Linked DNA regions of Notamacropus eugenii. The protein of the gene in region 4 interacts with the protein of the main gene of each other region in a pairwise test. Links are inferred from orthologs where the notes say so. Each region holds a gene or a part of one and is shown on either strand. Other genes may lie near its edges.

What was found.
Region 1: the proteins of ARL6IP1 (region 4) and SNX11 interact in binary tests that used the Homo sapiens proteins (3 or more experiments, as listed by UniProt). The two-hybrid records come from large-scale screens. The link is inferred for Notamacropus eugenii from reciprocal best matches to the Homo sapiens genes ARL6IP1 and SNX11.
Region 2: the proteins of ARL6IP1 (region 4) and SNX10 interact in binary tests that used the Homo sapiens proteins (3 or more experiments, as listed by UniProt). The two-hybrid records come from large-scale screens. The link is inferred for Notamacropus eugenii from reciprocal best matches to the Homo sapiens genes ARL6IP1 and SNX10.
Region 3: the proteins of ARL6IP1 (region 4) and SNX15 interact in binary tests that used the Homo sapiens proteins (3 or more experiments, as listed by UniProt). The two-hybrid records come from large-scale screens. The link is inferred for Notamacropus eugenii from reciprocal best matches to the Homo sapiens genes ARL6IP1 and SNX15.

What each region holds. Positions count from the first base shown.
Region 1 is NC_092873.1:353,054,592-353,062,433, forward strand, and holds the start of SNX11 (sorting nexin-11), read right to left. Parts: upstream 3,009-7,842; 5' UTR 2,891-3,008; intron 1-2,890. UniProt on the Homo sapiens protein: Phosphoinositide-binding protein involved in protein sorting and membrane trafficking in endosomes. Regulates the levels of TRPV3 by promoting its trafficking from the cell membrane to lysosome for degradation.
Region 2 is NC_092874.1:17,419,935-17,426,865, reverse strand, and holds the start of SNX10 (sorting nexin-10), read right to left. Parts: upstream 3,016-6,931; 5' UTR 2,608-3,015; coding exon 2,539-2,607; intron 1-2,538. UniProt on the Homo sapiens protein: Probable phosphoinositide-binding protein involved in protein sorting and membrane trafficking in endosomes. Plays a role in cilium biogenesis through regulation of the transport and the localization of proteins to the cilium.
Region 3 is NC_092873.1:17,764,242-17,771,209, reverse strand, and holds the start of SNX15 (sorting nexin-15), read right to left. Parts: upstream 3,023-6,968; 5' UTR 2,689-3,022; coding exon 2,419-2,688; intron 1,384-2,418; coding exon 1,348-1,383; intron 1,172-1,347; coding exon 1,051-1,171; intron 610-1,050; coding exon 494-609; intron 373-493; coding exon 216-372; intron 1-215. Other genes in the region: ARL2 (ADP-ribosylation factor-like protein 2), read right to left, coding at 3,665-3,799, 3,880-3,960, 4,666-4,828, 4,910-5,020, 5,697-5,761. UniProt on the Homo sapiens protein: May be involved in several stages of intracellular trafficking. Overexpression of SNX15 disrupts the normal trafficking of proteins from the plasma membrane to recycling endosomes or the TGN.
Region 4 is NC_092874.1:400,666,879-400,673,886, reverse strand, and holds the start of ARL6IP1 (ADP-ribosylation factor-like protein 6-interacting protein 1), read right to left. Parts: upstream 3,011-7,008; 5' UTR 2,692-3,010; intron 2,595-2,691; exon of another isoform or gene 2,582-2,594; 5' UTR 2,336-2,581; coding exon 2,300-2,335; intron 79-2,299; coding exon 1-78. UniProt on the Homo sapiens protein: Positively regulates SLC1A1/EAAC1-mediated glutamate transport by increasing its affinity for glutamate in a PKC activity-dependent manner.

The DNA.
Region 1 (7,842 bases), on a different chromosome or scaffold from region 4:
AACTGGAAATTTATGGGTACCCATCATTAAATTCAACAATAAATTAAATGGGGAGTAGATAAACAAATTATGGTATAGGAATGTAATGGTCCATAACTCTAACATTCCTCTTTTCTTCTTCTTTCATCCTTACCAATCCTATTCTCTGTCCCCACTGACACTTCTTATGCTAGAAGAAATGATGAAGAAGGTAGCTTCGGAGAAATTGGAGAAGACTTATATGAATAGATGGAGTCAGGTGAGCAGAACCAGAAGAGCGTATACAATGACCACACAGTTAAGACAAACAACTTTGAAATACTTAAGAACTCTGAGCAATATAAGGACCAATCATACTTCCTGAGGCACAATGATGAATCATGTCACCCACCATCTGACAGAGAGGGGATACACTCAGATGCAGAATAAGATAAATATTTTGGGACATGGTTAATTGCCCGGGGTCTACTCCTGGGCCTTCGCCTCTCCACTTACCGATCCCCGGTCTTCGGACGTCTCCGGCCCCTCTCCCGGTTGGGGGAGGGCAATAAACAGGCAGAGCACCCGAAAGGAGTTGCAGTCAGCAAGCTTTATTGCATTTCTTCCCCTTCTCCTTCTCCTTCTAAGCCCTTGTGATCATCCCCTTTTATTATCCCTGTCTCCTCCCCCGTACCTCCCATGGGCGGGCGAGCTCCTCCCAAGTGCCTCCCCGCGGGTGGAGTCAGCCTGTTACCAGGGCCATCCCAGTACCCCACAAGGGGGCAGGTTTGGACCCTCAGGCGTCTCACGGTCCTCACAGGGGACCCTGGTCCAGAGCTGTCCCCCAACAGTTAATGTAAGAATTTGTTTCGCGTATTTGTTACAAGGATTTTGTCTTTTTTTTTTCCATTAGGGTGGAGATGAAAGTGAGAAAAAAATGAATTCTTGTCAATTGTAATTTTAAAAAATTTTGTAATGATTATGGATTGATTTATCACAAACCTTCCCTCCAGTCATCCTGCCAAAAAACCCCACCACTCCTTCTCTTGATCCTGCTGCCCCTCTTCCTGTCATATAAGCAGGGAGCTTACCATGTAAGCTAGGCAGCCTGGACTCTCAATTATGGAGATTCTGAGTAAAGTTATAGGATATGTCTACTACTACTGGAAAGGGTGTTTCAGTGGTGTGGCTGATTTGATTATGATTCCTAGAGCAAAAAGTACAGCAAGAGCACATGATAAGACACATATGCTGCTGTGACCCTGGTGTTCTGGTCCAGGGCTGGAGGCAGGATAGTTGGATAAGATGAGGCTTGGCTGGTTATAGAGGGTGGAGATGAAGGATGATTTACTTACGCTCCATTCAACCCTTAGGTGCACATCTGTTCTAAAGGTGAGTTGATAAACTCCCCCTGGATGTGGGACAAAGGAAGGGTCTGACTGAAAGGTCACTGCTTCTGCCATATCAGCACAGATCATAAAAGAAAAGGATAGAATTGCCCATTTTCCTGACTTGGTTCAATATTTTTGCCAAGAAACCATGTTGTCTCTCACATGAATGAGTGAAGGAACGGGAGATGTTTATAAGGGGGAAAGAGATGACTTGGGGGTGGAGAAGAAGGAAGTCTATGATTTGGTGTTTCTGTTCAAGCATAGGCTTGGATGACAAGCTGTCAGGTATCTTATGGAAGAGATTTCTAAAGGGGGGGGGAAATTGGATTCGATGATTTACAAGTTTTCTTCCAACTCTAAAAGCCTATTATCTGACTAACAGAAGATGACAACAGGATAATAGATCCTAGGGGCAAAGCAGGATCAAAAGGAAGGGGTTCTTTTAAGGTTTTTTTAGCGGGGAGAGGAGGTTGAGGGGAAGAGTAAGTTGAATATCTATGCATACTTGTTGATAGTAGGAAATGAGCAAAATGAAAAGATTGAAGATTTGAGAAGAATTGATTAATTAACAAGCACTTACTAAGCACCTGTATGTGCCTTGCACTATACTAAATACTGAGGATGCAAAGACAAAAATGAAATCCTTGCTCTCACAAAGCTTATGGGGAGACATTTATATTTGTGTATGTAATATACATATATACAAAATAATTACAAGGTAGTTTGGGAAGGGAGTATATTAGCTGATGCAGAAATCAGGGAAGGCTTCATATAGAAGGTGGAACTTGAGTTAAATCTTAAAGAAAACCAGGGATTCTGAAAGAAGCCAGTGAATTCCTTGCCACCGGAACAGTCAGAGCAAAGTCAGGAGAAGGAACTTTATGGGTAAGTCAGAAAACAAGTCTGGATAAATCTCAGACTGAAAGCAACGTATAAGAAGGAGTAATTGAGAGATCAATATCTTAGACAAGGTGGGGATGGGGGAAGAGATAGGGATCAAGAGTACAGGTTAGCCTTGGAAGGGGGAAGAAAATGAAGAAAGGCTAGTGGAAAACATATACTTGTGAGGGACAGAAGAAAAAAAAAAAAGATGAGCTGTGATGCTCCATGGGCTTTAAGTTCCATGATTTATCAGTCAAAAATGTTATCCAGTAACATTTAATGCACCTTTCTCAACCTGCCTAGACTGCAGAGCTGTAAATCCTAATTGACTTCAGGCGCGGAACCCTATTCCCGCTACAAATTCCAGCCTATTTTAATTCAAACCTACTACACATTACCACCTGGCACTCCTTTTGAATTCTACACCCACCAAACTGGACTTCTTTGTTCTTCATCAGGGACATTTTATCTTCGCCGGGTTCTCCCCCCCTTTTCCCAGGAATGAATTCCCTTTTCAACTCTGAGACTCAAAGAATTTCTAGTTTTATTCAAAGGAAACTGAAACTCAGTTGCAGCTCAACCCTCACCTCCTATTTGAGGCTATTCCCGATCCCATCCAGCGCTAGTACCTTGAGCCCTAAATATGGTTACTTAATTACCTTTTTCGTTACTTTGTATACATTTTTGACAACGAGGAAGCGGTGTTGGTAAGTGGGGAGCGAGTTGGTCTCAGTCAGTTTAAATTCTACTTCAGAACCCCGAGGTAAGTTGCTTAATCTCCCAACATTCCAGGCAAACCGTTTAGATTTATATCTTAATAAATATGCCTCTTACTTTACAATAGTATAATATGTCTTAATTTGTAATAAGTACTGTAATTATTTATTACAGTAATCTTAATATAGAAATTACAGAGAACTGCCAAGACGTTTGAATTCACAAGACTGGTTCAAAGGCATATGTGAATGTGTTTCTACGTCTAGATCGTCGCGAGCAAAGGGACAGTTGCACTTGTCTCTCGGTATCCCTAGCAACCTGCCCGGTCTCTAGACGCTTAATAAATGCTTGTTGCTAGATGAGTTGATTACACGTGCCACAATCCAATCAGACAGTACTAGTCCCTGGAGCCGCTACCCAGAGCTTGGAGCTTCGTTGGGTGACGTCACCACGTTCCTTCCCTCGCAGTACCCTGGGGCTTGTAGTCTGGGAGGGACTTCAAGTTCCACACTGCCCCGCGTTGGGTCGCGGCGCCTGCGCGTTGCGCGCGGCGGGCAGAGCTGAGTACGGGGCTCTTTTGTTCCGCGGAGCTGGGACGATTGGCTGGGCCCGGGGGAGCTTCGCTTAGCCTATCTTAGGTGAGGAGGGGCACCAGGCTCTAGCCGCGGCCGCCGCTCTTTCTGGCTTAGACAGCTCATCCTCCTTCTCGCTGTCCCCAGCCTCCTGCGACGCGCTAGCGGCGCGACACCGATTCCCCCCGGGTTGAGTCGACGCTGCTCTGAGGTAAGGAGGGAGGGGTGTGTGTGTTTGTGTGTCTGAGAGTGTGTATATGAGAGGATGTGTCTGGTGACACTGGGAAACCGAGGAGGGGGGCCCGGGGGGTGGGGAGGGCTCTCGGCCGATGGGAGTAGGGCCGTTAGGAACCCGGCGCGCGGGAGGCAACCCCCACCCCCTCCCCCACTACTCCCCCAGTCCTCGGTCCCTTCCCGCGCGCAGACCCCGGGAGGGGGCGGGGCTCGTGGAGCGCGCGCGGCGCAGGAATCCCGAGTCGGAAACGGCCGGTGTGGTGGGTTGGACCCCGCGCGTGCTGGGGGCGCTTCGCTGGTCCTAGTTTCTGGGGTCCTTGGTTAAGGGGCCCCCTGGCGAGAAGGAATGTGGCCCCGGGGCTGTGGGGGAGGAGGGGCGGAGCTTTAGCTACTTTAGCCGGTATTGTTATTACCCGCTACTCTGTAAAGGAAAGGGGGTGGGGCATAGGTGGCATTGAACGCCCTTCTTCTGCCCCGGTGGGGAGGAACTTGATTTTTTGTAGCTGATGCATGTTGATGCTTTTAAGAAAAAGACTTGAGGTTTGAATAACGTCCAGGAATTGAGGTCCCATCTCCAACTGTAGATTATCTCCAGCTGATGCAGTCTGTAGTGTGTACATGGTTTGCAGGTTGTCCACTACACGTGAACTCCAGGAGAGCTTTTCTTGTGCCTGGTAAGGGGAAGGCGCTTCATAATTGCTTGTTGACTCGACAGATAAGTGGTTGTGTATTCGTGTTGTCCCCCACTGTGAGCTCCTTGATGGTAGAGATTTACCCTTCCTCTTTCTTTTGTGTCCCCGGAGCGTATAGCGCAGTGCCTGGCTTCACTTAATAAATTCTTATGGACGAAGCGTTAAGGCAAAAAGTTTGAGAACCCGAAGTTCTCTTGCTTGATGTACTTCATGCTAGCAACTAGCAACGAAATTTTGAAATAAAATTCCACCCATGTTACATTAGAAGAATCATTTCCAAGGCAAATGCAATAGGAAAGTGAAATGAACTTTTCATTACGACGTTGCCCCTTTCCCCCATTCCAAGATATTTTCCACAGAAGATTGTAGCGGAGATCTTGTGCTCAAGTTTTTCGTCAGACTTCAGGGTGAGGAAGACTTGGAGTTGTTGAATCCCACCTTTAGATGTTAGCTGATTGATCCTGGGCAAGTCCCACAACCTTTTTTCAGTCTCAGTTTCCTGGTCTATACAGTTGTATTCGATGGCCTCTAAAGTCTCTTCCAGCCCTAAATCTGTGATCTTTGGGAAGTCCCTTCTGCTTTCCCTGGATCCCTGGATGGTGGCCTTGCTTTCCATCGATCTTTGGTGGGAAAGCCTAAGTATTGGTTTACCTGATAGTCCAAAACATGAATGGAGCCATACCCTGGGGCTTTGAGGCCTTGAATTGTATTCCTCTGTTCAGCCTTTTGTCTGACAAATTTGGGCCCTGAATGGCTGCTGGTGACGTTAAGGTTTTGTAACTACCTTCTTTGGAAAGAATTGCCCTGGTAGATAAAGTGTGTAGAAGAGGATGCCTTTTCTTTATGCCCTTTTTGTAAATTTAGGTGGTTCTTGGGAGCCAAACCTGGGAAATCTTTGAGAACCACTTTACACCTCTTTTAACCCTACCCTGAAGACTAAATTCTAGTTCTGTTAGGTTTGTATGCACATATTAGCAGGAGGCATCCTGTCTGTGCCTTTGCTGGGGCTGTTTCCTATGCCTGGAATGCAGTTTCTCCTCACCTGAGCCTCTTCGAATTCCTAGCTTCCTTCCAAGCTCAGCTCAGCATCACCTATTACAAGAGGCCTTTCCTACTTTTTTTGCCTTTGCTAACCTGTAGTATGTTCTGCCCTCCTATATCTTAAGTATATTTTGCATTTATTTATATGTGTATATGTTGTTTCTCCTGTGGGATGTAAGCTTCGTGACTGCAGGGGGCCTAACAAATGCATGTTGATGGATGAAGCTACCTAAGGGCAATGATTTCTGCCCTTTATTTTCACTGTTGCCTCCAAATGAAGAGTCATCTCTGCAGTTAGGTGAGTGTCTGAAAAGTCTGAAAGTGAGTAGAAGCATGTGATAGATACTGTGATCCTCCCTAGAAGCCTTCCAGACATTTATATGGAAGTTAAAGGAAGCCTCTGGTTTTGTTTTTTTCCTATAATGACATTTTTGTTCCCAATAGCTTATATATTCCGAATTGTTTTTCTTTAAAAGTGAGTAGAGGATATGGAGGATAGTGCTATAGCCTATGCCAGGTTCTTGATAAGAAAAGATGTGCCTACTCTTTTCTTCCTCTGTCTTTGTACCTGTGGTTAGATACCTGAATTTTTCTAACCCCTTCTGGACAAACGATATTGAAATATACCAGAAAGGAATTTTCTAAATGAGAGAACTTAAGTACACCTTTAAAAGAGGATTGCTATATAATGTCATTTTCAGAACAGTAGGTGCAGTTTCGTTCACTAGTTAAAAGCATTTGTTAACACTTACTACATTCTAGGCATTGTGCCAGGTGTTGGGGGTACAAAGAAAAACAAAAAAGTCCCTGACCTATCCTACCATACAGTCTTTGGAGATGAGGGCTCTAGTAGCTAGGGAATCAGGAAAGGCCATATATAGAACAGGACTCTTCAGGCTGAGCTTTGAAGGAAGGTAGGACTTCTGAGAGGAAGAGGTGAGATAGAAATAGATTGTGATAGACCTGAGATGGAGTATCACATATGAAGGAAGGGCAAAGTAGGACAATTTCACTGGAATATACAATAGGTAAAGACAGCTAACGTGAAATATGCTTAGAAAGGTCTGGAGACAGATTGTAAAGGGCTTTAAATAACAAACAGAATTATGAGTTTTTATTTAACCCAGAAGAAGTAGGGAGGTACTGGAGCTTTTTGAGCAATCTGAATCTGGCAATGGATAATAGGTGTTTATTCTGTAATGGTGTGGTATTTGTTGTTCATTTGTTTCAGTTGTGTCTGATACTTTGTGATCCCATTTGGGGTTTTCTTGGCAAAAGTGCAGGAGTGGTTTGTCATTTCCTTCTCCAGCTCCTTTTGCAGATGAGGAAACTGTAACTTGTAACAAAGGATTAAAAAAAGAGTAGAAAAACAGTTCAGCAAAACTAATTAGCACATCACCTGACTAATAGTCATAGTATATGCAGTAATTTGGAGACAAACTTGTTCATTATAATTACATAACCATTTTCATCATTTAAAAATTCCTTCCATTAACATTGTGTAGTCTTTGTGTGTATTGTTTCCTGGTTCCTTTTCTTTACTCTTTATCAGTTAATATAGGTCTTCCCATGCTTCTCTGAATTATTATTTTCCATTTCTCATGGCACAATACTATCCTATTGAATTAATACACCTCGGTTTTTAGCCTTTTCCCAATTAATTGGTGGGTGGGTTTTTTTTTTTCTTCCTGTTTTTGGCTACCCTGGAAGGTACTGCTATGAATGTTTTGGTGTATGAGAGACCATTGTCTTTAACCTACTCCTGTAAAAGGAATCTCTGGGTCAAAGGGTATGGACATTTTAGTCAGTTGGCATAATTTCACACTGATTGCTTGGACCAAGTTTTCACTCTACCAACAGTGTATTAGTGTCCCTGTGTTTCTGCAGCCTTTCCAACATCAGCTTTGCCAGTTTGGTGCCTGGTGATGAAACCTGAATTGTTTTGATTTGCATGTCTTTAATTTTAAGTAATTTGGAGCAGTCTTTCACATGGTTATTAATAATTTGTTATTCTTATGAGAACTGTGTTGTTTTTTTTTTCAGTCATCCATTGAGGAAATGGCTCTTTGTCTTATATATTCATATTAGTTCCCTTAAATGTTAGACATCAGACCCTTATCAGAGACATTTGAAGCAAAGATTTTTGCCCCAATTGACAGCTTCCTTTATCCTAATTATATTTATTTTGTTTATTCACAACCTTTTTAATTTTATGTAGTCAAAATTAGCCATTTTATCTTTTAAATTCATTCTTGTTTGGTCAAGAACTATACCTCTAGCCCCACCTGAGATAGGTACCTAATCTAGTTTTCTTCTATTTTTAATTTTATCATATGGCCATTCATATTCAGATAT
Region 2 (6,931 bases), about 380 Mb from region 4:
AAGCCCAGTGAGATCAAGGGATTTGTTTGAGGCCAGACAGTAAGGAAGCAACTGAGCCAAAATTCAAACCCAAGTCTCTGCCCCATACTCCAGGCTTCTCCTACCATAGCATGGCCTTTTATCTGGTTCTTCTTAAAGAATCATGGCTGCATGTTCTCAATGCCTCCAACCTGTCACCTTTGCAATAAAACACAGTTTTTGTGGCCCTGAAACTAGGAGTTCTGGTGCCTAGGGCCAATTTGGATAGAAGCTGGAGCCATAGAGAGCAGACTAATCCCAGATGCTCCCTCTAGGAGAGAGGATGGTCAGTTCTCAGAGAACGCAGCTCATGGGTGGCTACTGGGGATGGCTACTGGGAATGGGGGGAGCTCAAGCCTGGGTTAATGGCACCAGGGTGACAGGACCCTAACAGATAAGACCTTAGCGGTGACATTCCACTACCTGCACTGCTGATCAGCATAGGAGCGAAAACATTTCTCCATCCTTGGGCAGAGGCCATGCCAGTACCATAGCCAGGCTCTCTCATGAGATAGTGGCTAGAGGGCTGGATTTGGAGTCAGAAAGACAAAAATTCAAATCTCACCCCAAACATTTATTCTCTGTGACCCTATGCAAATCAATTAAACTCATCCTCAGTTTTCTCATCCATAAAATGGGTATAATAACAGTATTTAAGCATTAACCTATGTAAAACACTCTGCAAGGCTTAAAATGCTATACAAATGCCAGCTCTGTTGGAAAAAAAAAGACTTATTTCCTGAGATTGTCATAAGGGTGAGCACAAGAGCAGTTAGAGGGACAGGAGAGTCGCTTTCCTAGACATGACAAAGGTCTAGACAAGATTCACATCTTTGACCAGACAGGCAGAAATTGGTTTTGTTTCATCCTCACTCCCTCCTCTCCCTTTTATTCTGCATTTTTAATCTACTCTATCTTCCCATGACAAGGCTATCTCAAATGAGCTTCTCCCACTCCTGAATATCAAGGACCCTGTTCCTTTCACTCCCAAATAGAATTCTGCCTCCAAAACAGAATCTAGCTCTTATAGTAAGCTCAGGTTTTCCTTCCACAGGAGGAAACAGAAGATGCACTGGGCCCAATAGGTGTCCTTTATTGGTCAGTAAGTAGGAACTTAAATTTGCCACTGAGAGAAATTCTGCATTGGTTCCCTTTGACCAGTTGAATTTAGGGAAGGAAACAGATTCAGAGCCATATGGGACAGGAGGGAAGTAGGGAGAGACTGTGGAACTGAAACCCTAAGCTACCAACACAAGGAAGCACAGAAATGACAGGCTGCCAAAAAGCAGTAACTACTCAAGATTCATTGTTTTTAAATGCTCCATTGTCAATCTTGGATTTTATGCCTTTTTATGTCTCCATCTGCCTCCCCTGATTGAAGCCTCCCCTCTTTTAGTGAAGCCAAGCAGTACAGTGTCTGGGTCACCTCATGGATACTGTATTCCACTTCCCTAGCTCCCCACCTTGAGGTGGAGGAGACAAGCTCACTACCTTTCTTATCAGATTTCCAGGACCAAGGTCAGTAGAGCTGTTTTTGCTCAATGGCAGTCATTGTATTCCTTATTTCCCTAGCTCTGCTTTCTTCATTCTCCATTACTCAATGCAAGTTTTCCCACGGTTCTCTGAATTCTTCTTCTTCCTCTTTTTGTCTAGGCCTGAGATTTCTTTAGTGTAGGGAACTCCAGGTGAAGAAATTCCCTTTACCAATGCAGAGTTGTACCTGCTCTGAAATGTAAAAGTCTAGAAAGCTGCCTAGGTCCCTAAGGGGCTACACAGCCTGGCATACAGTAAGCACTTAATAAAAAATTTAATAACAATTATATTGTTTATTTATGATTATTGTTATTAATAATAAAATGTTTGTTGACTCTATGACTCTATAACTTGAATCCAGAGCTTCCTGACCCTGAGGCCAACTCTCCATGCTCTACTCTGTGCTGGCCCCTCATCCTTTTTTATAACAAAGTAATTTTCATAGAATTCAGTCAGCCAACAAGCACTACTTAACAAACATTAAATACTTACTATGTGCCACTGCTAGAGACAGAAACAATACAAGTCTCCTACAGATAGAAGGGAGGATCCCAGAGAGCATCCTGGCCAGTCACTTCATTTTACAGATAGAGAAACTGAGCCCTGTAGAGGTTGTGCCTTGCCAAGGTCACACAAGTAAGCAAGCAGCAAAGCAAGGATTCGAACCCACATCATCTCCCTTCAAATCCAGTGCCCTTCTTCTGCACCGCTGGGATCCCTCATCACGTCCATCAAGTCAAGCACCTATTACATGCCCCTTTTATTCTGCAGGAAATACCGGTACCCATTCTCTCCACCCAGCATTTTCTGGCCAGTTTTTCTCCCTCCCTCATCTGTTTTGGGGCTCCTGCTCTTCTCTGCAAGGGGTTACCCCTTCCCCCAGTGTAAAGGCACTAAGCCAGGTACAGGCTCAACCACACCTAAGTCCCCAGGCAACAATTGTGTTTGCAGTTGGGTTTTGTTTTTTTCTGAAACCACAAAGTTCACCACAATGAATATTTCATTATAGATGGAACCTTCCTTTCTATCATTTTCCTCCTTGGGGAATACATTCATTAGGGAACTCTATGGGGCAAAAAGTATGAACATTTTAATGACTTTTCTTATATAATTAAGATTCATTTTAAAGGTGCTTAGAAATAGTTATTAAGAAGGAAGTTCACCAAAATAGGCAAAAGAAATGGCTGTCTAATGCAATAAAATGCTTCAGGCACATGTGATTTCCACAGAGGGGTGCTCTCCCTTCTCACCTCGGCCCATTGGAATCCTTTCTAGGCTCAGCTCAAATGAATAATGAATCCATAAATATTATTAAACACCTACTATGTGTTAGGAGCTTTGCCAAGTGCTAGGCATACAAAAACAGGCAAAACACAGCCCCTGCCCTCAAGGAGCTCACCTTCTAAAGGGGGAGGCTTGAAAATAAAGCAAGCTGTTCTCCAAGAGGCTCTCCACAGTCCCCTCCAGAGACCAGGGGCTTTCCCCCAATATACTTGGGGAAAACACCTATAATAAGTGAAAGTTGTCACTGTGGTCTTTGTATTTCCAGCACCTGGCACATGCTTAATAACACTTCCTGACTGATATAATTGGACAGAGGCGGGAGATGGACCCAGGAGGGGAGGGGAGGTCCAGCTGGATTGCTTTGGGGAAGCTGCCACCTTTTAATGACCCCAAGTTCTCCCTGGGACACAGGCCCATCTTTTTACATACCAATCTTCTTTATGGCTATGACCAGGAGAAATGGAATCCCAAAGAATTAAAGTTGAGGTTCACCCCAAAAAAACCAAAAACAATGGAGAAGAGCATGACGACCACCCTGAAATGCATGATAGTTAAGGAAGCTTCTTGAGGTCGGGGGCTGTCTTTTGCCTCTTTTTGTATTCCTTGGCAAAGCGCCTAGCACACAGTAGGAGCTTAATAAATGTTTACTGAATAAATGAATGAATGAATGAGAAGAGGGGCAAAGAATGCCATTGAAGGAATGAATGAGGGAAGCAAAGAAAATAGACTAACCAGGTAGAGAGAAGGAGGGAGAGAGGGAGAACTGATGGCCAGTTCATGTGTTCCGCCTGCATCCACCATATCTGCAGAACAACAGGAAGGCTCCCAGCACTTTGGTGGGACCCGCTAACATTCAGGGTAGTCCAGGGACAGTATAACTGGAAAGAAAACACATGCCCAAGAACTAGAGGATGGCTAACCAAGCTCTAAGAAATATGCCTGAGCTGTAAGAAATGATTACTAAGACGCATAAGAAGATTTATACGAACTAATGCGGGGGGCAGGGGGGAGGAAAAAGACATACTACCCACAACAATGGAAACAGAAAGAACCACCCCACCTCAAAACTGAAACTGACGCTATGAAATTTCAATGACCAAATGTGACATCGTTGATCCTGGACCAGAGCTGCAGCCAGGGGACGGTGATGGGCAGACAATGAGACCACGCACCCACTGGAGTCCTGGGGCTTTTGCTGACCCTTGTTAAGCTCCTAATTTAAAAACTCTAGGAACAAACCAAAATGCCCCTCTCGATGATCCTGATATTCTTCCAAGTCTGGTACTTTTCTGTGAAATGCTGGGTTGGAGCTGGCTTTATTTTTCTACCTAGGTAAAGTCTATCCGCTAAACAAACAAATTCTCAAATGGGAAAAATGATTTGGTAATGAGGATGGGAAAAAGGGCAGAAACTGTGGGAATGAAGCACAGAGGATGGAAGAACTCTGCTCATTGCCCTTTAGGATCCTCAGTATCATGAGGCATTGGATGGAAGGAAAGGAAACCTTGTGTCTTGGAAAGCTCCTACGTGGTTTCCTTACTCAGAGGTTCCAGGCTGGCTGTCTGCCAGGAAGCACCACCTAACAGGCCCTCACATTTGCTTCATGTTGGCACAAAATTACACAATCTTAGAGGGCATCAAGGCCAATCCAGAACTGAACAGGAGCCCAGTCCCACCCCCTCTACAACCTCCTCTTTGCTTGAAGACCTCCAGGGACAAGGAACTCACTACCTGTCCTAGTTAATTAGAAAACTCAAAATGTTAGGAAGTTTTCCCTTCAATTGGGCCAAACGTTGCCTTTCTGTAATTTCCACCCACTGCTCTCAGTTCTGCCTTGTGGGATTCAACAGAACACTACTGATCTGCTTCCACATGATGGCCCTTCAGATACTCCTCAAAAGCTTTCATGCCCCCGTTTATTACATTTCCTCTTCTGCCCAAATTCTAGATTGTCAGTCCAATCAGGACTAAAATATGATGCTTAAGAATCACAAATAGTCCCGGGGACAGCAGCCTTCACTAAGTCTTGCCCACCACTTGGAAACCTCTGTTGCCCCAGATTCCATGCCTCTTCCTTCCTCCCTTAGCCTGCTTGTCTTCCCCCAAACTGAGCCTGCATTCAGATTCACATGGAAAGGATCCAGCTAAATTTAGACTAAAGTGTGAATGATGGTGAATGCCTCAATGCATACCTCACTTTATCCCAATGCAGAAACCACCTTATCCCCAAAGTAATCGATGTATTCATGGTGACACTTAGACATCAATTACTGATGAAGGCATAGTATTTAAGGCAAAACTATTCTCTTCATTTCTCCCTCCCACCCATAGCTCCCCAGAGTGCTGTAGTCCTCTTTTCTGATCAGCAATGTTTGTGGCAGCCAGGTGGCCCAGTGGCCTGGAGTCAGGAAACCCTGAGTTCAAATCCAGCCTCAGATACTTCCTAGCATGTGACCTTGGGCAAGACAGTTAACCTCTGCCTGCCTCGGTTTCCTCCTCTGTAAAATATGGATAATAATAGCAACTACCTCTCAGGGTTATTGTGAAGGTCAAATGACATAGTACTCGTAAAACTCCTAGAACAGTGTCTGGCACATAGTAGGTGCTTTAGCAATGTTAGCTACTATCATTATCATAGTAGAGGGAGCCTCCTTATCAAGGAAATCACAGAAAAAATAATACAATAACTAAAGCCCTGAAAAGAATAAGTAGATAAAGCAATTGTCCTGGAGAAACAACTGAGTCTAACGCCTTCTTCATAGCAGCCCCCAGGCTCCTGAGAAAAACAGAGAAGCTCAAGCTGCTCCTCCCCAACCCTGGGTCATAGATTAGAACTCCCCTTCTGCACAAAAGCCTCCATCAAAGCTTCTCTGCCACCCAGATACCTGCTCCGCCCCTCTTCAGATTCTTGGCTGCATCTCTATCACTGGGAGTGTAGATTCAGTCTGGTGCTATGAATCATCTTTATTAAAATATGTGCCCATAATATTTTAATTGTAAATTAAAGCTTCACGCCTGGATGAGGCTGAATGCATTCTCATCTGACTGGGGCCCTCAGCCAAGGCCCATTAATGGGAGGCTCATCACCCCCACACCGTTGTTCTCGGTGGGAGGGGAGGAGAACCAATCTTGGGGGGGGAGGGGCTCTGGCCTATCCTTTCACTCCTCTCCCTAGATTTATTAAGGCAATAAAGTTGTTTTACCAAGGCAAGCTGCAGCGGGTCCCCTGCACCCATCCTCCATAGAGGAAATGAAAGGGCTAAATTTCCAGCCTGGTACTGCCCAGTGGATGACCCAAGGGTCTTCCTCCCAGGGCACCAGGACCCTGGAGAGAAGAGCGGGCTAACTTCAGCCTGAATGGAGGAGAGGGGGAGAATACAGAAATGCTTTAGGCCAAGCCGCCTCCAGCCTGCAGCCCATTCTCCAGCAGACACAACAGCTCCCACCCAGACCTTGCTCGCCCCGCCAGCATCTGGACTGAAATGGAGGCATGGGCCAGTAGGTGGGAAAAATCTCTCTCCTATTTTAGGCTCTAAGAAAACTTCGCAAATGGTGAGGTGACTCCCCATTGCAGCTGCTCTCTGGGGACTTCACCCATACACGCAAATTGGTATTAAGAATGGAAGATGTAATTTGGAGAAGTAGACATTTAAGAGGATTTAAAACCAGCAAGGAGGGGGCTCTTGGCAGTTTTTATGGGGAAGCAGCACCAAAGAGCTGCATTATGGGAAGCCAGAAGTGTTTAGTTACCACGAGGTTCCTCGTTGAGCACAGAAGGATTTGGAGTTGGGAGGGGCCTCTGGGAGGCATTGTAGAGTTCTGGATTTGAACTCAGGACTTCCTGATTCCAAGTCCTATCTTAGAAACTTACTCATAACCCCAGAGAATTGGCTTCAATTTCCTTATCTGTAAAGTGGCGATACTAAAGCACTCACCCCACAGGATTGTTGAGAATCTAAGAAAATAATATTATGTTACATTAATATTGCTAATTTTAAGTCATTATATAAATGCTAGCAAGTATCCCCACTGGTCCAATCCAGCCTTTTTTTACAGGCAAGGAAACGGAAGCCCAGGCAGGAATAAGAGCTGGAAA
Region 3 (6,968 bases), on a different chromosome or scaffold from region 4:
CAGCCACAAGACTTTGAGGCCTTTGGTCCAGTCTAACCTTCTCATCTTACAAATCTAGAAACCAAGGCCCTGAGCAGTCAGGTGACTGGCCCACTCCAGGCTATCCCCCAGTGGGGTGCACTTATCAGAAATGGGGGTATTGGGGAAGGGCAGCCCTTGCTACGTGTCTGCTGAGCACCTGCAGACCTGAGTTCAGCTTTTCCCTGCCTCAGTACCTGGCCTTTCATTCTCGTCCTCAGGCTCTTCCCGGCCCAGCCGCTCCGCTGGCAGAGGCTGGGGGAGGTGGGCATCTTCCGAGGGCGATGTGGGCACCAGGGGTGGCGGGAGGATGTGCAGGTCACTGGGCTCTAAGGGCCGGGTCACGTCCCCACCCTACAAAGGACTGAGTTTGGATCCAGGAGCAGTGCTCAGAGATCCCTGAATCCACCCAAGGGGAAGACCAAGGCAGGAGTGATGGGCACCAGATGGCTCCCAGGGAGGGGGAGGCACGTACACGGAAGAATTCCTTGAGCTGTGGGCTGTTGTTGAGGGCAGGAATGTTGACAGTGAAGCGCAGCATGGCCTCCGCCGCCTTCCGCCGCTCCTCAATCACTGAGGCTTCGAATCGGCCTGTGGTCAAGGACACGCCAGAGCCGTTAGGCCTCCTTCCCCTCCCCCTGGCAGTGGCTAGGCTGGGGGGCCTACACCGGCACACCATCAGGCCCCCACCAAACAAACCACCCACCAACGCTCTTCTGTTCTGGATCAAAACTTGTGTTTCTCCGTTGACTATGACACAGCCCCATCCCATGATTAGTGTGGAGGCTAGGCCAAAGCTGCCCTGGGGGAGGTGGGCAGAGTCCACTTCTGGCTGGGGGTCACAACCCAGCATGGGGTGGCCAACGCAGTCTGGGCCAGTGCTCCCCACTGCCCACCCCCAGGCCCTGTGGTCCAGGACAGTTTTGGACAAAGCAGCCACTGAGGCTGGATGTCTGAGGGCTGGACAGCTGCTGGGGCCAGACAACTGTGGAGGCTGGACGACTGAGGGCTGGCCCGGCCTCGGACACTCACCAAAGACCTGTGCCCGGGGAAAGGTTGGGAATTCCTCCAGGCGGCGGAAGAGGTTTCGGTGGGTGTAGGCCAGGTCCCCATGCAGGCGGCGGAAGTCGCTGTAGCGTTTCCAGATGACCACCTGGGCCCGAGCGGGACGCAAAGCCACCGTCTGGCTCCCTCCTTTTGCACTCAGGGAAACTGAGGCCCAGAGGGGACTGGACTGGATCCGGGCAGTTGGCCGTTCCACCCCCCGCCCCACCCTGGGCTGCCTGCAGGAGACAAGGGTACCCGCCCCCCACCCACCCCAACAGTCACCTCCTTGACATCCTCTTGGTTCGTCTTGGAGATGAACTGAGGAAGAAGAAAGCCAGGGCCAGTGAGGGGCTAACCCGCTTGGCCCCCCAGCCCTGCCCCAGGCTCAGCCCCCCAAGACCCCCCCACATCAGAGGACAAGGCCACCCTTGCCTCCACAATAACTGGGGAGAAGAGGCCATTTGGTGGGGGAGGGGAGTGGATCCTAGATGGAGGAAGACCTGAATTCTAATCCAGTCTGAGGTGCCAACTGGGTGACCCTGGGCAGATCATCTGACCTCCACTGCAAATGGGGATGACAGCATTCCTCCCCCCCAAATGGGAAAACGTGTAGGTCGCGGAGGGCCCCCAGACTCAGATCCTCTTGGGCAAGGGAGCAGCAGCCTCCCAGGGAGGGGGTGGGGCTCGGCGATCGCCCCCAGGGCACTGAGCGGGACAGGTGCGTGGGGCCCCGGGGGCCCTAGCACAGGAGGTTTTGGGGAGAAAACCCCCCAGCCGACGCCATTAATGACTTAGTGAGCGGAGGAGAAGCCGGCCAGGAAGCGGCGCTGCTCAAGTCCTACTAAGCGCCGGGGACGCTAAGCGGGGCTCGGACCTCCGGGGGTGCTTTCACCGCCTGCGACCTCGGCTGCCTCAGCCACCCTGGGAGGGGGTGCCCGCCTCACAGAGGAGGAAGCTGAGGCTTCCCCAACGCGCCCCGCCCTCCCCAGCCGCCCCCGGTGTGTTCCGGGCCGCAACGGGGGTCATTTCGCGAAGGGAGGCAGCAGCTCCCAGCTCTTTATTAACCTGTTTGCGCAAGGTGGAGGTAACCCCAGCCAAACAACTCTGCAGCTAGGCCCCGCCCATGCTGGCCCCGCCCATGCTGGCCCCGCCCCTTGCGTCTCCGTTAAAGGAACCCAGATTAGTCTTCCCTCCCTCCCCCGTAAATTAGTATAGTCCTAAATTCGCTCAGGGGCTCCACCCCTGCCTGACTCTCGAGGATGGAACGGTCCGGCCCCGCCTACTTAAAGGGGCTTCTTCTTCTTCTTCTTCTTCTTCTCCTCCTCCTCTTAAAGGGGCTTTGCGGTCACTCACCTGCGCCGTCACTTTGTACTCCGTGTAGCCCTTGGGATGGGTCCGCGTGTCCGACACTGTGTACAGCCGCCGGTAGTCGTCCTTAGCCTTGAGGGACATCCTCGAGGAGCCGGAGTCCGCAGGACTCCGGCGCCTCGGCCTGGCCACGGGCCTCCTCTTCCACGCTGTCCCCTCCCCTCCCCTCCCGTCCAGCCTCCGACGGGCACCGCCTCTTCTGCGCCTGCGCAAGGCTCTCCTTGGCCTCTCTTCCTGACTCCTATGCCCCTCCATGGTGCACGCAGGGACGGTCCTAAAACTCTTTGTTCTTTGGAAAGGCGTAGAATGAGCTACTCCGTAGGAAAGGCCGCCCCCTGGCGCCTGGGGAAGGCCATCGGTGCCCTGGACTCCAGGCAACAGGCATTCATTAAGCACCTACTGCATATCAGGCCCTGAGATAGACTTCAGGGAAAACCCAGCCCACTCCCACGTGGGGAAACTGAGGCCCCGGACGGCGGAAGACGTCAGGCTGGCACTGATGAGTCCCCTGGTGGGGCCGCTGAGGCCCTCACCCCCCTCCAAGCCCACTCCCCCAACACTTCAAGGGCCACTGAGAACCAGATCACTTTAGGCCACTGGTTTACTGCGAGCTGGGCCAAGGCCAGGGGCCTGGAGGGTGGCGGGGCAGGCCCAGCTTCTTCCAGGTCCTCATCCACACCAGACAGTTCTAGAGCTGCCTTCTGGACTTGGCCTTTCCTGCCCTCCCTCAACTGCTGGCAGAGTGGGCCACCCTTCTCTTTGGGAGCATGGGGAGGGAGTGTGGAAGCTCCCTTGACAGCAGAGGAGCCTGGGAGGAAGAAGAGCAGCCAGGAGCGAGGGGCACAGAGGACTTTATTCCCACAGCTGATCGGAGGAAGGGGCCCTCCCGGAGTCTCCCCCAATCCACAGACAGAGAGCTGCAGGAGGGACAGAAATAGGGAATGGGGGCCACTCCTCCCCAGGGAGGAAGGCTCTCCAACAGAGCAGCAGGGTCTCTCCTGTTAAATAGCACAAGCAGCATCTGGTTATGACAGGGAGGAGGCATTAGTTGGGGTCCCTTGGGCTTCCGTTCCTCCCCCCCCCAGTCCTGGCTCCCTGGGGGGCCCTGGATCAGAGAGAAGCAGGACAGAGGGATGGTTTGTGGGAGCTGGAGATGTGTGGAGGGGCTGCCCTTCAGCTGGGTCGAGGGGTCAGTCCAGGAACCGGTGACCCAGGGCAAGGAGGGGAGGGGTCATTCTGAAGTGAAGATTCGGCTGGAGATGTCATCCAGGAGCCAGTCAACCCCCAAAAGCAGGTTTTCCCCCGTCACTGCACTGCAGCCCTGGATGCACCAGTGGTGACTGCGGATGGCATTTAACTCCAGGATCTGAAGGAGGGAGAGTGACTCTCAGACAGCAGCCCTCCCAACCCTCCATCCCATCCAGCCACCTGGAGGCCTCAACTCACCTCTCGAATGTCATTAGATGAGAGAGCCCCAGGGAGGTCCTGCTTGTTGGCAAAGATCAGGAGAGTGGCTCCAGCCAGGCGCTAAGAGGGAAAGAAAGGTGGTGGTAGGGCCAGGAAGGAACCTGGGAGCTCTGAGCTAGCCAGCCTATGAGCCACTGTGAGCACCACTCCCAGGGCAGCATTAGGGAAAGGGACGTGAATGGGGTTGTGGGCGCTTGTCAGTGAGATACGATGACAAGAAAAGTCCACAGGAAACAGCTGCCTGGTCTTTGAGCAAAGAGCTGGACTGGGCATCTCGCCCAGTCTTGGGCTGCCTGGCATCCCAGTCCCCACCTACTTCTCCAGCTTTGTCATGTGACTCCCTGCACCCCCCCCCCCCCAATTCATTCTCTTCCATTTCTGGCCATCTGCCCTCCTCACTCCATAACCTCATCTTACAACGCTTACTTCCTGTTCTGCCTCTGCACTTGTCTTACCCTCCACTAGACCAGTCCTCTCTGAGGACTTTCTCATATCTTTGCTAATCTCTGCTGCCTAGCGCAGTATCTGGTAAACAGCAGGAAACGAATGTATGCTGATTCAAGTTAATGTGGACCTGTGATCTTTTTTTCAACCAAGCAAGCATTTATTAAGCCCCTACAATGAGCTAGGCATTCTGTCATGTGGTGGAGATCCAAAGACAGGAGCTCCTTCTTCCCTGTGCCTCAGTGTCCCTTTCTGGTAAGTGAGAAGGCAGGGCCTTCCTCCTCAGACTCCTCCCACTTGACAGCCCCCAGGCTGGCGCACCTCTTCCACGAGGAGGCTCTCCAGCTCCCGGCGGCAGTCCTCCATGCGCTGCTGGTCAGCACTGTCCACCACCCAGATGAGGCCGTCTGTGCTCTCAAAGTAGTTGCGCCAGTAGGAGCGGAGGGACTTCTGGCCTCCCACGTCCCAGATGTTCAGCTTGAACCTGAGGAGGAAGGGAGAGAGGGTGGATGGGCGCGGCCGGCCCGCGCTGTGCGCCCAGCTCCTGGGGAGGGGCGTCCCTCACCCTCGGTGCTCCAGGGTCTTGATGTTGAAGCCCAGGGTGGGCGAGATGGTGTCGATGTCCTCCCCGTTGAACTTCTTTAGGATGGTGGTCTTGCCTGCGTTGTCCAGACCGCTGGGGCGGCAGTTAAGGAGCCTCGGAGGCAGGACCTCCCAAGGGAGGGAAGTGACTTGCCCAAGGTCACCTCGATCCTTCCACAAACTAGGTGCGCACCTACTGTGTGCCTGGCACTAGGGGCACCAAGATGAACAGTAAGAAACCCGCTCGGGCCCTGCCCTCGAAGAACTAGCCTAGCACAAAGTGAAGCTCCCTATGAGAGGGAAGGCAACATGCATTCATGAGGCTCCTACTGTGTGCCTGGGACACACAAGGAGGCAACGAGCTGGACTTGTGCTCCGGGGACTCCCGAGATCCAGTCTGCTAGGGTCTAGCCCAAATCCCGGACCCTCCATCTCCCGCCTCCCCGCCAGTGCACGCGAGCTCCCTTCCATGCCCCCGGGGTAGTTGGCCCATTCCACTTTTCTAGCCGCACCCCCCTCTGCGTGGGGGCAGTCCCTACAGCCTGCACTCCCCCGTTTTTGTCCCGGATGGTACGGACCAACTCCCAACCCACCGCCTCCTAGGGCTATTGGTCGATCCCGGCTTACGTAACCCGCGCAGGGTAGTTGGTACGATCCTGCCCAGAGCGGCGCGTCCTCCCTCCCCCCACCCCGGGGGAGCGCGTGGTAGCGCCCGCCCGCGCCTTTCCCTGGCCCCCGGCCACCCAAGGGTTCGGGGAGCTCGAGGATACAGCATGAGGAGCCGCAACTCCCGCTCCTTCTGCTTCATCTTCTTCAGGATGGTCAGGAGCCCCATGGTCCCAGCCTCCCCTCCCCGCCGCTGCGCCTTCCTAGTCCGGGACCCCGCTCCCCCCTCTCATTGGCTAGAGCGCGCCTCACCGGAACCCGATTGGCTCGGCCCTTGTTTGAGCCCGCCCCTTCTCGCCGGAGCCGGCGGCAGGAGAAGGCACCGCCCTGCTGGGCGGGGGCGGGGCTACGGGGGCGGCTGGGCCCAAACTGGCCCGCCCCCGCCGCTTAACCCCTGGTGTGCCGGCCCGGGACGGGAGGGCGCCGCGAAGAGGTGCATCCCGATTCACATCGCACCCCTCTACTTGTGGAAGGGGGCTGGACACAGAGCTGGGTTCAAGGGCAGGCCCTCCCCTGAGCGGGGTCAGCCTAGTCCTCGAGGTCCGGCGGATGGGCTTCCCTCCCACCTCTACCCCTGGATCTTGGGAGAAGGAAATGAACAAAGACTTCACTTCCCATGAGGCGCCGGGAGAGTCTTTGGACTCCATTTCCCAGAAGGCCGTGTCGGGTCAAGCCCTCCTTATTTAGTGCCCGCGGTTTGCGGAGAACTAAAGCAGCGGGCATACCTAAGGCCCGGCAGGTGCCTGCCCTGGAGGCGCTTACCATCTGATGCGGAGACCACGTGCCCGCTGGTGCCTACAAAGCAGGCTGGAGGCAGGGTAGATGGGGAGGCGCTCACGGAGGGAGGCGCTGGGGAGGGTCCCCTGTAGAAAGTGGGGTTTCAGCTGGGGCTAGCAGGAAGTCGGGGGGCAGGGGTCGGCCGGGGAGGCTGCCCAGAGCCAGGAGAGGCCGGGGTCCCTGACTGCGGAGGGAGGAAGGTGTAGAGACAGAGGGGGGTAGCCCTCTGCACCCCGGGCCCCCCACTACCAGTGCTGGGCGGGACAGCCCCGCCCCCCGCGCAGCTGCCCCTGCATCCATTTGAAGACTCTCCTGCAGGGTTCCCCCAGCCCCCCTGCTTTGGGTCTGGTCTAGAGCCTGGGAGGGTTTTGGGCAGTAAAGGCCAGAGCTTGATAACCCTTTGTTATAACCTTTAGATTGTTATAGTTTGGATTAAGAAGAGCCTGGACCTAGTGGTCCTTTGTTTAACCTAGAGGACACCTTTTGGGGACCCCCTTACCAAACCCTGCTGGCATCTTAGCGATAAGGAAAAACCCAGATCTCTTGGGCTGTAACTTGGGCTCTGCCAGCTCCAAAGGCCTGTCCAGGTCAGGGTGTCT
Region 4 (7,008 bases):
CCGAAGGAGTTTATCAGTTATTAGCGTCACTTCTCCCCATCCTTGTAACTGTTCTTCCAGGCTGGCAGTTTCTGCAGCCTGCATAAAGAAATACTTTAAACAGTTATTACAATATTTTTAACAGTAGTCCTGGCTATCTGAAAGCTAAATTCTTTTATGGTGCTACAATGTTCATAACACATTCTCAGCTGAAACTAGCCAATAATTCTAATTTTTAAAAAAGTTACAGGGGTCACCTAAAAGTCAGTGATAGACCCCCTCCCCCAACATGCCAAAATATTTATAGCAGAACTTTTTTGTACAAGCACAGAGTGGAAAATAAATTCTATTTCCATCAACTGGAACTGACTAAACAAGTTGTGGCACATCAATGTGAGGAAATAATACTGTGCCAAAAGAAATAATGAAAATGCTATCAATAAATAAAAGCATGAGAAGACTTACAAACTCTAAGTAAAGGAAATAATAAGCAGAATGGTATAAAGTAAACAATGACTGCAACCAATGTTCATGAGAAAAACAAGAAAACAAGCAAACCTAACTACTGTAAAATGATAACGACCAAGCTTAGACCCAAAGACAGAAGACACCTAGGTGTGGTACACTGCATATGATGTCAGACATTTCTGATGTATTGATTAGTTTTGTTGAACTGCTTTTTCTTCTTTGTTATAAGAGGTCACTCTCTAGGGGGAAGATGGTAAAAGGATGGACTGGGAAATATAGGTGATATAAAGAAAAAAGACATCAAAACATTAATAAAGTCATTAGGTTGAAAGGTTAAATTTTTATTTAGTGTAACCTTATCAAAGGATTATTAATTCTAGGTTCAGGCCCCAGTAGTTTTCAAAACAAAAATCACCATTTTAGTAAACGCATAAAATAAGGTTAATAAAAGGGATTTACATCTTTCTTGGACTAAGAGGGTCTCTTAAGATGTCTTTCAATTTTTTAAGATTTTCCAGACAACCTTCAATTTTCAAAATAACTTTCTTGTAACAAGAGACCACTAGATTTTAACATCACTTGAAACAGAGATATATTGCATTAACATATAAAAGAGATGAAGCCTGATTTCATCAAATTGGGATGTTCCATCTTAAACTCAATACAACTCTCCTTGTAGCTTGTGGGAGAATTTGAGGAACTCAAATTGTCTCAAAGTGAAGCTCTTGAATAAGCAAAAAACAGAAGAAGTAGCAGGGTCAACATAAGAAAAATGAATAATACAGCTAAAAAATTGTTTGCAGTCTAAAAACTAATGTGAAATCCAGTTGTTTCTAAAAATCCCTTAGAATTAATCATATGAGAAATACTCTAGTATTTCTTTATCTTAAAACATGCAAGTCATTGTACTTTATAGAGATTCATTTTCCTCACCTGCAAAATGAAGGGGCCAATGCGATGCTCTCTAAGAAGCTCCCTTCTACCTCTAGATCTTAAAACTGCTACCTTCCTAACATTCTACCAGGCCTTATCTATTTCATGACCTCCATGAGATGACTATGCCAAACTCCAAACTTTTCATTTAAATGAACCGAGCTTCCAGGGCACACGGAGGAAAGAACACCCAGGTTTTCTAAGCCATCAGCGCCAGATCTGAGCATTTCTCATTTCTAAAGAGGTGTTGGCCCGGATAATCTCGAAGACCCTTTTCCAGCTCCGAGAGCCCGGGAATGTCTGACACCCAAATCCCAGTCAAATGACAAGCATTCCGCCGCTCTTCCAAAAATCACGCGTTAAGTAATCTGCTGTCACCGGTCCATTCCAGCTTTCCCCACCCATTCTGGGCAGCAAGAAGCCTTCACCTTCAGATGAACTCATTCGAAAACAAGGAAAATTCTACTTCTGCCCAGCACCTCGATGTTTTCGCCGGAAGGGAGCGGAAGCGGGGGAGGAGAACACTGAGGATTAGGGTAAAGGGCCTGACCAAGCTCCAGCACAGCAGGGTCAAGTTGGATTCGCTTCTTCGTCTTGCTCACATCCATCTATCCATCCACCTCTTCTTCCGACGACTAGACCAAGGCCTTCGGCCCGTCCTGCCCCCCCCTGCCCCCCTCCCTCCTCCCCCGCGCAGGCTCCACTCAGGAAGGATCGTTAGGCAGCCAAACCCCTCGAGGCCCAAACAACGGTACTTAAGCATTAGCAGCGGAGCCGGGAGGACAGGGATGAAGACCCTACTTCGGCTCGCGAGCCTCGACCTGGGGCGGCCAGGCTACCAGATTGGCCGCGGCACCTAAGTAACCCAGGGGAAGCAGGTCTGAGACCTGTGTTGGCTACGGGCTTCCGGGCTACTCACCAGCAGGTTGGTGCTGCGATTGTCCCCCTCGGCCATGGTCGCTGTAGCACCTCTCAGGATAACCGGCCACCGCCTCGGGATCTGTACATACAAAATAACAACGCTACGCCAACAACCTTGCGCAGGATCCTTAACAGAGAAGGCCTTTCTCCTCAAGTCCTTTTATAGGCCGGTTCCCTTTCCCGACAGGTCTTGCGAGCCTGTCTTCTCATTGGTAGAATTCAGGCGAAGCTGAAGTTCATACCAACCAACCACGAATCGGTGCATGTTTTCAAAACGAGGCTGAGAAAGATATAAAGAAAGGCCTGGGTTGAGGGGCGGGGAGATGTGTGGGTTGGCCAATCAACCCTTGGATCCCTTCTAAGCCCTCCCTCTCCTCCCCTCCCCATTACAGGTTCGGAAGCGGTTCAACTGTCACAGGTACGGAAGAGATTCGAGCGCGTCTGCGCGTGCGCGTGGAGCGCGACGCAGGCGCAGAATTTTCTCTTCCTAGGACCATCTTCTCGGTAAAATGACGAGGCGCTCCAGCTGGCAGCAGCTCTTAGCAGACGGGAGCTTTCCCATTATATTTCATCCCCATTTTGTAGAAGTCCACGAATGAAAACAGAATGGCCATACGTTTAGGGAGGGGAGGGCCTGGTGTTTGAGTTTTATGCGGCTGGGGCAGCTGAGTAGTCCCAATCGGGAGGACCCGAGATCACCAGCGGTGTGGTCCTGGGCAAACCACGTTACCGTGCTGACCCCCGCCCGCCGCCCACTGTGATGCGCACAAGCGAGCTTGTGCCAGCGTTTCCTGGGCTTGGTCCGGAGCCACCCCTCCCCCCGCCGCGTTCTGGGGTCACTCGGCCCGCACAGCCGTCTCCAGCGGCGCCAAAGGCCTGACTGGACAGAGATCTAAAAGCAGCGGGGTCACTTAGGCAGCGGCCTTGGAGTTGGAAAGGGCTTTGTAAACGTTGCATCCTCGTTACCACAGGCTAGGTGCAAAGCCGGTGTGTGAACCCGTCTCCCCGATTGCACGCCCAGTGCTGCATCCGCTGGGCCACATGGCTGCCCCTTCCATTTTTATTTTAGAAACTGCCTAGCAACAGTCGGCATGCCCTTTAAAACTGGACAGCTAAAGCGTGAACTTCTTGTGGCTTTACATCAGAATCTCCCAAAGACTCAACTGTTGCTTTACTTCTGAAGGCAAGATGAGTCATATACGGTATGGTGGTTACAGATCACTCCAAGCAGGACTGGTATTCAATGTTAAAGAAACGCTGAAGAGCTCTTTTGTTTTTTGAAGGGTAAGGAGTGAAAGGAAAAGTTTAGATGATAAAATATCTTTGAGGGATGGGAAGAACTCAAGACTGACTGAAGTATTGAAGTTGAATAGGTAAGGTGGAATACCCTCAACTAGTTAAATTCCTCAAAAAAGGTCTTGAGGATAAAGGGGAATAATTTATGTGAAAAATACTGTCTCCCACAGAATTGCAGGAACATATTTTTATTTTGAAAATCCAGCCCTAAGGAAAAAAAAATGCTTTAGGTCAGGTGGTAAAGTACCTATGGTAAGATAATAGAATTTTTAGGTACTATATGGAATATGATCTGTATTGTAGAACTTTCCTGTGCACTTGTTCCATATTCACAGCCTAACAGTTATATAGGTAAGGTTGTCTGAGTTTTCCACTAAGTTTTCCCCACCTTTACCACTGAAGTTTCCCATGAGCAGTTTTGGAATTTTTTTAAGGAAAGGGGAAAAAAAACCCTACAGAGTTAACAGTGTTAATAATGTTCCAATTATAAACAGAAAAAAATGGATTAGATCTTCAGTTCTCTAAATGTTTCACTTATAAACATTCATACTTATAGATTCTTTCCCCACTCCTTTTTTCAGCTTTTGTAATATAAACAGATGAGAGGTTGTATTCATTTTTTACTTTGAAAAGTACCAAATCATAACAGGATAAACACACCTACCAGCAGACTTTACAAATTAAACTGATAAGCTCATCCAACTTTTGAGCAAATTTATAATTATCTTTATTTTGACACTAGTATGGTTGGATTTAAAAAAAAAACATTCTCCAAATGAAGCAATTGGAACCATGGCTCCAAACCACAACGTCCCTGTATTTGATTTAAAGGTTTTTCAATTTTGCAACCATACTGAAATTTTTTTGAAGTGATAATTCTTTTATCCAGTTTGGATACAACATGTACTTTGAAACATTTTAAGAATTAAGAAAACTTTGTTGGGGGTAATAAACAAATTGTACACATCATAGAGCTGTAGGAAGTTCGATGAAGACTTTAATATTTAGGTTAGGGCTAGAAGTATTTTTAGTAGTCTGCTTTGATCAATAAATTCAGAATTTAACATTAGCCCAGTTGAGTTTAAACCTTTATTTCTTGAAAAAGGTATTTTATACAATCTTTGCCATGTTGATGCAATGTATGCACAAAGTTTGCTTGTAAATTTTTTTTTCAAAAGATGCATTATAAACATTTTTAGGAAGCTGGTGTGTGTGATACACTCACAAAATTACATCCATTGGGGAGGCAATACAATCTTTGTACAGAGCAGCCACTTCCTTTTATACATTTCTGTTAGGAAAAAGGAAGATTCATTTTAAATTATTTGCCCTCACAATAATGGTAAATGGAGAAATTATTCATGTCACATACTGTGATTACCACTAAAAGTGGTAGAGAAAAGAAAAGTGTTTCACACCAGAAAATAGTAATGGACAAGGGGTATAACTTCTTGAGCTGAACAAAACATCTGAGGTTTGAATGTTGTAAAAATATGCTTATATTTAAATCAGCTTGTTTTTTTAAAAAATAAAAACAAAGCATCTTTCCACAACTCTGAATTTCTGAGCAACATGCAATTCTTTACTATTTACCACTTTTGAAAATACATCTAACAACTGCATTACATTTTTACATTATTAGTACAACAGTTTTTCCTTAATAAACCCACACAATTGAGTATGGAAAACCAATTGATCTACAGTCTGCTTGTTTTACAATCTACCCTTTTAAATGAGAGATTCTCTTGGCCAGGGCCAAGTGTCCTGCACTTTTTGTTAATGAAGTTGAAATGTTGCTATTCCCAATACAGGTTATAAGGAGCAGGAAAAGTGCAACAAAACCCACACAACTTCATAGTATGGTAAATTTCTTTTCCATCATATCAAAAAAAATTTTTTTTTTTTTACCATATCTAGATAAGCTACCCTATTTTGTTCTAACTAGAAACATCAAAGCATAAGCCAGTCTTTCACTGAATGTTATATTAGCAATATCCTAACTCTAAAGTCTAAGGAAAATAAAATATCCTAATTCACTTTTATTGATATGTAAGCCAAGTGAGAAATGGAAGGTCACTGATTTTGACATTCATCTAATTTCACATAAAAAAAAATTCAAGGGTGATAATAGTAAATAATTTGCCATTTTCTTTTGAATGAGCAGTTCAGTTAGGCTTAAAGAAATTGGCTGAATCATAGTTTATGTGTCCTAAAAGGAGGGAAGAACTGCCAAGAGCACAGAAAAGGAACCAGCTCCTTTTGTTTGGGTGCTACTCAAATAAGCAACCTTCAAAAGTAATTGCTGAGAACAGAAGAGGGAAGATTTTTCAGGATTAAAGTATTGCCTGTAACTTAAGAGGGGACTTAAGATTGCACTTAATACTCTAATATTTGGCTGTACTCACACTGCCCTGATCAGAAATTTTAAATGGCTCTTTCCTTAACATTTTACAGATTAGACCAACCAAACACTGGAGAAAACTCCTACAATGCAGGTCACAACACTGGAAAACCATTTAGAGTATAACAAGAAGGTGAAGAGAGAGGGTTAATTGGAGTGCTAGATGACTTTATCTTAAATTTCAGCCTTAAACTTTGGCATCTGGAACCTAATAAAGAATTTAAGACGGATTGTGATAGTAGATTCAAAGTTCTACCTAAACTCTCAGTCTCACACAGAAAGGAAAACTATGAGACTCTTGATACTGTCATCCAAATAACCTAACCATCAAGAAAGCTGCATAAGAACTAATCATGAACACAATGGGACAAATATATTAAATAGACCAGTGAAACTGCTATAGGTACTTCACAAACTAGTACACCTCCAGAGCTTTTTCAGGCAAACATTTCTCAAACCAAAACAAAACAAAAAAACAAAGATGGCCAGGCAATTCCAATGACTTGAACAACATTCATAACAGAGAATAGCTAAGCTTTGAGAGAAAAGAAAAATAACTACTTGGAGGTTGTCATCAACCTGAATCATTAAAAAGAAACCCAAACCACCTTGTTTTCCATAGCTATTTTGTCTATTACTAAGTATAATAATGACTTCATAGCTGCTTAATCTTTGTCTTATTATGAACATGAAACCTACAGCTCTAGTTGATCTGCTACAATGCCACTATCTCTTTAAACTGTGCATGTCTTGAAGATACTGGTGAATATTCTTATAGCAATCTAAAGCTGCAAAGCCATTTATAAATTCCATGAAGAAATCAAACCAAATGCAGTAAATGTCAATATATATTTGAAGTCACAGTTTAATGTTTCTGAAAACAAAACATTTCTTGTTTTTATGGTGTTACCTCAAATGTTGAAGGGACCATTTTGTTAGAGGTCATACATGGATAATTTACTAGAATGTGTATGGATGCCAGCTCTCATAGTAAAGTTGTTTCACTGTGT